Linked DNA regions of Macaca mulatta. The protein of the gene in region 1 interacts with the protein of each later gene in a pairwise test. Links are inferred from orthologs where the notes say so. Each region holds a gene or a part of one and is shown on either strand. Other genes may lie near its edges.

The links. The genes of interacting proteins can lie anywhere in the genome.
Region 2: the proteins of TFDP1 (region 1) and E2F6 interact in binary tests that used the Homo sapiens proteins (3 or more experiments, as listed by UniProt). The link is inferred for Macaca mulatta from reciprocal best matches to the Homo sapiens genes TFDP1 and E2F6.

The regions. Positions count from the first base shown.
Region 1 is NC_133422.1:107,803,460-107,807,563, forward strand, and holds the start of TFDP1 (transcription factor Dp-1), read left to right. Parts: upstream 1-1,304; 5' UTR 1,305-1,337; exon of another isoform or gene 1,338-1,495; intron 1,496-1,771; exon of another isoform or gene 1,772-2,026; intron 2,027-2,369; 5' UTR 2,370-2,433; coding exon 2,434-2,445; intron 2,446-4,104. UniProt on the Homo sapiens protein: Can stimulate E2F-dependent transcription.
Region 2 is NC_133418.1:113,381,897-113,385,396, reverse strand, and holds part of E2F6 (transcription factor E2F6), read right to left. Parts: intron 2,442-3,500; coding exon 2,225-2,441; intron 493-2,224; coding exon 337-492; intron 1-336. UniProt on the Homo sapiens protein: Inhibitor of E2F-dependent transcription. Binds DNA cooperatively with DP proteins through the E2 recognition site, 5'-TTTC[CG]CGC-3'. Has a preference for the 5'-TTTCCCGC-3' E2F recognition site.

The sequences.
Region 1 (4,104 bases):
TGAAGCCAGGTGACCAGAACTTTAGGGCGTGCGGCCTTGCCTGAGGAGCAGGAGTGGCCAAAATCAGCATAAAATGTGCAAAGCGGGCTGTCATGTAATAATACCCTGCATAGGCAGAGAGGCCTTTGGTCAGCTCCTCAAGTCCTCCTAGACTTACGCTCGGTGCGCACCGGCCTCTGCCGCCAGCTGTGGCCCTGAACTTTGGACTCTTCTCTGGCCTAGCCCGCCCTTGGCTGGGGTGCTCGGGCCTGGCCCTAGCGGCGGGGCCGTCCAGGGTGGACTGAGTCTCCAGGACTCGGGGACCACCAGGCTCACCATGCAATGAAACTGTTTCTGGAGTTTTCCTGTCCCTGCTTTCCCTCCCGAGTCCCGGGCCAGGCTGCGTCCAGTGGGCACAGAGGACACCCAGAATTGTTGGTAATCTGGGGGTAGGCCAGGCATGGGCTTGGAGGTCACCGGGTCCAGCAGAGGCAGCGGCCTCTGTGCCACGCACGCACACACACCTCTCTTCCGTGTGTCCACATACACACGTCTGTGCACACACCTGCTCTCCATACATGCACAGCCCCACACACAGTCGGCCCTTTATGTGCACAGACACTCGTGCACACAAGCGGCCCCCTCCCTCCGTGCATACAGGCGCGCACACAGCTGGCTGTCTCTCCTTTGTGAGAGAGAGCTCAAGCACACACCCGGCCCCGCTATTCGCACACACACTCCTGGACACACTAGTCCGTGCTCCCCCCTACACACATGCACACAGCCGGCACTCTCTGCTCCCTGCACACACATCCTGACACACCCGGCCCCCCACCTGCTGCCCCATGTGCACACACACTAGTGCACACACCAGTCCCCGCCCCCTCACATGCACACACACTAGTGCGCACACTACTCGCTCCCCTACGTGCACACACCAGTCGCCGCTCCCCCACGTGCACACACACTCGTGCACATAGCCGACCCCGCTCCCCCATGTGCACACACACTCTTGCACACAGCCGGCCACCTCTCTCTCCAGACACACCGTCACAGACGCGCACAAACGCGGCCCCTTGGCCTCCGAGCGCACGCCGCGCGCGCTCACTGCCCGTCCCGGCGCAGGCCCCGGTTCCATCTCCGCACGCGCACGCGCACACGCGGACACGCGCGCACGGCCCCTCCCCGCCCTCCCAGGGCGCGCAGCACTGGCGGGAGGAGCGGGAGACCGAGGAGCTGCAGAAGAGGAGGAGGAGGGCGCCGAAGGCGCGAAAAGGCGCGCAGGCGCGCTGCGGGGCCCGCCGCCGCCCACGTCACCGCGCCGCGCGCACGTCACGCCGGCCCGACGCTCGGCCAGGGTGAGCCCCGCGTCCCGGCGCCGCTCGGCCCAGGGCAGGGACCCCGCCACGGCCGGGACCGCCCGGCCCGGCCCCCGCCCGCGCCTCCCTGCGCCGCCCCGCGCCCCGCACCGCGCCCTTTCCGCGTCCCCGCCCGCGCGGCCGGACCGGGCAGCCAGGTGCGGGCGGGCAGGGGATGCCGCGGGAGCCGCGGGCGGGGGCCGGGGGTGCGGGCGGGACCCCCGGCCACCCCATCCTGTGCCCCGGCCGCGTGTAGGCGCCGCGCGGCCCCGACCCGCGGTCTCCCGCGCCCTCCCGCGCCCCGCGCGCTCCTGTGCCTCGGGGACCCCGCGCGCTCGGCGCTGGTGGGGGCTCCCCAGGTGACCGCGGGGCGGGGGTCCCGGGCCTGGCCCTCCTGGCCGATAGCAGCGCCCGCGCCCCGCGCCGGAGGTGGGGCCAGGGCCAGGGTCGGCCGGAGCGCGCAGGGCGGGGGAGGGGATGCCGCCCCACGGCGGCCCGCGGGGACCCGGTTCCGGCGCGCGCGGGAGGCGCCTCGTGCGGAGGCGGCCCGAGGCCTAGTGACAGGCGCGCGGCGCGGACCCCGGAAGCCCACCTGTCAGAGTTACCGGTCAGCCAGGCGGGCGCCGCCGGGGTCTGGGGTGGACGCCGCGAGCCTGCACGTTGCGCCGGGACCCTGGGGCTGCGCCCAGGTGGGTGGTGGGGCCCCCCCTGCAGCGGCGGGAGGGAGGCGCTGCGCCCTGGCTGCCGGGGCTCAGCCCCACCCTCGGCCGCTGGGCGGGCCGTCGGGGACCTGGGGGTCGTGGTGGTGACCCTGCGGGCCCGCCGGCCACTTTTGCGCAGGGGACATTTCCGTCTGACGAGGCGACTTAAAATCCTCAGTGTGGGAGTCGGTTTGGCCAGCTCCGCTCTCAGGATGGAGGGTGCCTTTGGGAAGGAAGGTCCACGTTTCCTTTGAGATGTGTTATTTTTTCAACTTCTTTTTTCATTCTTACTTATTTATTGTTTTTCCTTCCTTTTTTTTTTTTTTACCAGAAAAATCATTTTTCTTCTCTGGGAAGGTGAACATTTGTAGCATTTATTTCCCGGATCTGGTAACATGGCAAAAGATGTAAGTATGTTTGCTTCATGCTGCACACGAATGTTTGCCTCGCACTAAATTCTTTGTAGTTTTCTGCCTTTATTTCAGAATGACAACGCATAAGCTACAGTAGTGTTTATTTTCAGACTTTTAAAGCATCTGAAGCGGGATGAAGGTGAAAGATGGAAGGATCTGATCTCTGAAACTGCGCTCACCACCCCCAAGTTGTGGCCTTGGATACCACACTGTGCAGTTGGGTGGTGATGGGGTGGTGCCTTCTGACTTTCTCCTTATCTTTACCGACTGTGTTAATTGCTAATTTTGAATAAACTCCTTATTAAATTGAGGTGGAGGGTGTTGCAGCACCGCAGCGAATCCTCCATTTCTTGGGGGCTTCCACATAAGATCCTGGACGGGGGCCAGGCTTAGGTCTCAGACTGTAGCCACCTGCTGGCACCTGTCTTTCTATAGAGGAAGTTAATTCCACTTGGGTGGACCAAGAGCTAAGCAATTGTTTTGGCCACTTTTTTTTCTCAGAAGGATGAGATTTGGTGGTTTATGAAATCTGGTAAGAAATGCTACTTAGCCTGCTTAGTATTTGTCATGAAACTATAGAATATTTTGAATAATTTTTTAAACTTGTGTGGGGATCGAGGCTTTTAAGGCCAGAAATGTACTCTATTTTATTGGCGTGTGGTTCTTTACTATGCTTGGTAATGCTGGTCACTGAAGCAAGCTGGATTCCTTAGTGTTTCCCATCACGCATTGCTCTGTAACTGTGAGTGAAAGGGGTTGTTGATACAGCTGTAGCGAAAATGCATCCGGAGTGTGGAACCCTCTCCATCGACGCAGAGGTTTCAGTGGTCCCTGTGAGTCCTTGTGGGGCGTCTGCCCTCCCTGACCTGTGACCACCTACGTCACACGGTGTCCCTGGCTTCAAGCACTGGGATGTGCTTTAGAGAGGGCATATGAGCACACAGGTGGACCCAATGTGGGTTTTTGAAGTCATATCTGGGTGTGCTGCGAGGCTACTTTTACCCTATCCACTGTGCTTGTCCGTACCATGCCCTGACCTCATGCGTGCATGCACTCAGAATGCCAGATGTGGCCATGTGCTCAGCGCGCAGCCGTGTTCATTACGTCTCCTCACAGTGAGGAGCTGGGCCCAGGGCCTCGGTTAGAGCACGCTTCTGGTGTTGTGTGGTTTCCTGTGTGGTTTCCTCAAATGGTTCTTAAACACGCTTTGATACATAATGGGTGGTGTCACCGGGGCCCTCATTCATTCCCCCTTGATTTCATTGGCACTGTATGTGAACAGCATGTAGTGTGAGGCTGGGGGTCGGGGGCATACAGAAAGGTGATCCGACTCTGCGGGACTCCAAATGCTCTATCCAGTTTTGGCATTTGAGACGCGGCATTTGTCAGGGGTTGCATAGGCACAGGGCCTGGGGGCTTACCTTGCGCTCAGGGGTTATGATCTGAGTTGGGGGCTGGCGCTGGGAGGAGAATAGGATTCTACAGCTGGTGAGGCCTTCCCTGCTCAAAGTCTGGGAGTGGTCAGGAGTGCTGGGTCTGGCTGGAAAGGGAGATTGTGGACAAGTCAAGGAATTTGATGTTTTCTCTAGCTCTTTTTCTTTTGAGACAGAGTCTTGCGCTGTCTCCCAAGCTGGAGTGCAGTGGCGCGATCTT
Region 2 (3,500 bases), on another chromosome or scaffold:
ACGTTTGAGGCTATATTACTACCAACTTTTACTTATTATTTTTTTTTTTTTGAGACGGAGTTTTGCTCTTGTTGCCCAGGCTGGAGTGCAATGGCGCCATCTCGGCTCACGGTAACCTCTGCTTTCCAGGCTCAAGCTATTCTCCTGCCTTAGCCCCCCAAGGAGCTGGGATTACGGGTGCCTGCCATGATGCCTGGCTAATTTTGTATTACTTTAACTTTTAATGGTCTAATTTTATATCTTAAATATATAAATTAAGTCCCCAAGCTGATTCTACTACTTAAGTAATCTGTTTTGGAAGCAGAAATTTTAGAAAGGTATAGACTTAAAGGATATCTTTCATTTTCTTTGTCATCTGTTAACTCAAACAGCTGCTGAGCACAATCCTTAATTAACTCATCCAAAGCATCTTCCATTGCTGATAAGTCAGAAAGTTCCTCTTGCAGCTTCTTTTGTTGGGGAACTGCTCCAAAATTGCTAAGATCAGATCCTCTTTAAAAGAAAAAAAAATCACCACAAAGGAATTTCAAGTTAGGTTACTGGAACTTCTCCAAATGATTACCATAAGTGTTTTCCACAACAATAGAAACTAGGGACTTTTAACTTCTGCTATCTTCGTTCTAGACAGCCATTATTCCTTCTGTACATACATTTATAGTTCTTCATCTTATACAGTCTTTTTCAAAAAAAAAAATACATTACAACCTAACAGAAATTAATAACAGCAGAGACAGCCTAAGAAAGCAAAAGGGCACTGAACTAAGAGTCAATAACACCTAGCTTCAGCCTCAGTCCTAGTCCTTACAACATAGCTTCTGATAAGTTATAATCTTACAGTACTTGAGTTCCTACATATGAAAACAAAGTGTTGGCTAAATGACAGTTCCTCTGCTAAAATGTGATGAGTCTGTATTTTTCCCTAGTGTACACATTCTATCTGAATATAATGATTCTATTCATCATTTTAAAAAAGACATTATTTTCAGGCCAGGCATGGGGCTCACGCCTGTAATCCCAGCACTTTGGGAGGCTGAGGCAGGTGGATCACCTGAGGTCAGGAGTTCGAGACCAGCCTGGCCAACATGGTGAAACCCCGTCTCTACTAAAAATACAAAAATTAGCCAGGGGTGGTGGTGTGCGCCTGTAATCCCAGCTACTGGGGAGGTTGAGGTGGGAGAATCGCTTGAACCCAGGAGGTGGAGGTTGCAGTGAGCTAAGATTATGTCACTGCACTCCAGCCTGGGTGACAGAGCAAGACTCCCTCTCAAAAGAAAAAAAAAAAAGATATACATATTTTCCTTAGTAATTAGTGCCTACTCCAATATGATGACCAGGCAACAACTGATTTTCATTTTTTCCTTTCAATCTTAATGGAAAATAAATAGGGAAAGGTTCTTGCCTCTATCTTTCACCTGGCAGTTTTCAAATCTGATTCTAATTAGTGATTCACAATGCATGCCGATACAAACTCCTAAAGTGTTTTTTAGTAAACATGCTCAAATTAGAATTCAACCTATACTTCCATACTATTGAAAAAATGACCTCCTTTATGAATCCCTTTCCTCTAATAACTACGTTAATTATTTAGGATCATTTTACAGTCTTTCTTGGTAGGTTTGCATTTGCCTGAGAGGTCACTATGTACTTATTTGCTGCAACGATTTCTCCCTGTCCCAAAATACTTGCCTATTCTAACAGCTTTCTTCTTATGTGTGCACGCACAGATACCTTTATCTATGCCAGTCTTCAGCTTCCCTTTCCATTGGATTCCTCCTCATCATGTCAAGTCTTTAGCAACTGCCTTTTAGACACTGTCTGATTTTTCTTTTAATATTCAGGGCAGTGTTTCAAACACCTCGCTACGTCATAATCTCCTGGGCTACCTGTTGAGAATGTACTTTCCTGCTTTCCCTCAGATCTACCGAATTACACCTCCAGAGGCAGTAAGCCTCTAGGTGTTTACTACACGGCCGTGTGAAAACCACTGTTTTACAACCTTCACAGATTTTCCCAATATCAGTAATCAACTGGAACTGAGGAAATACTTTTTAAAAAATGTATGTACTCTCCAGGATGATGCGAGAAAATTTTACAGAATTCTCTCCTAACAAGAAGTTGTACCTTTGTTTTCTATTGTCAAAACATTGCTACTATCTAGTTTAAGCACGGAATTGTCACTTGATGAGAAAGAAAAAAAGCCATGAAAAGTTTGAAAGCAACTCACATCCATCGAATATGGTTCTTGGATTTCTTTTCAACGAGGTCGATTCCATCTAAGACATTGGTGATGTCATACACTCTCCGCTTGCGGACTCCCAGTTTCGTTGCAACCTTGTTTAAGTCAAGAATACCCCCAGGAGCAGATCTGACAAGATCCATAAATTTTCGAGTTAAATAAACCAGTGATACATCAAAACGAGGTCTCTTCACTTTTAGAGCTTCTGGGAAACAAAATAAACATATTTGTAAAACTTTAAATAACATTTCTCAACTCATTTTAAAAAATCATCTGTTTCCTCTTGATCAGAGAGCAGACATCTACAGAAATCCCTACACATTGACCAAATCAAAGCTGGTTTCTATGAAATAAATCTCTTAAATTGGAGAAAAAATTCACTGGCCTATCCTGGCTCTAAACAAAGGCTTTAAATTTAAATAAAGGAGTATTTGAAATATGCAACCAGTGTCCACTGAGCATGTGGACTTTTACAAGTCTACAGCATCTTCTCAGACAAAGCAGTGAGATTACATTTGCATCCATACCACTCTCAGGAATAGAATTACACATGGTTTTTAAAATTAAATTTCTCATTTGGTCTTCAAGTGAAGGAATTCTTTACTAAGCAAAGGCAGAGAACTGGCTTTTTGTCCCCTTTTAATGACTCTATCCATGTCATAGTGTAAGTTGTCTGACCAATGTTTTGAAAGAGCTCAAACTAGTCTTCTATTAAGGCAATGATGACATACCTCGGCCAACAGTGGTATCTCTATTTTTTCTTTTCTTTTTTTTTTTTTTTTCAGACAGAGTCTCACTCTGTCGCCCAGGCTGGAGCTGGAGTGCAGTGGCGCGATCCTGGCTCACTGCAACCTCCGCCTCCTGAGTTCAAGTAATTCTCCTGCCTCAGCCTCCGGAGTAGCTGGGATTACAGGCGTGCACCACCACGCCCGGCTAATTGTTTTGTGTTTTTAGTAGGGACAGGGTTTCACCATATTGGCCAGGCTGGCCTTGAACTCCTGACCTTGTGATCCACCCGCCTCAGCGTCCCAAAGTACTGGGATTACAGGTGTTTGAGCCACCGCGCCCGGCCCACTATCTCTATTTTTAAAAATATTCACTACTCTGTATTAATGTAACGGATAGACAAATGATAAAAAATCCCTTTAATTCCCTCACTCACCTACTATGGCTTGGGTTTTCATACACACACACACCCCTCTAACACACTCACACTTGTGTGTCAATCATATATATAGTTTTTAAAAACAAAAACAGGACCATG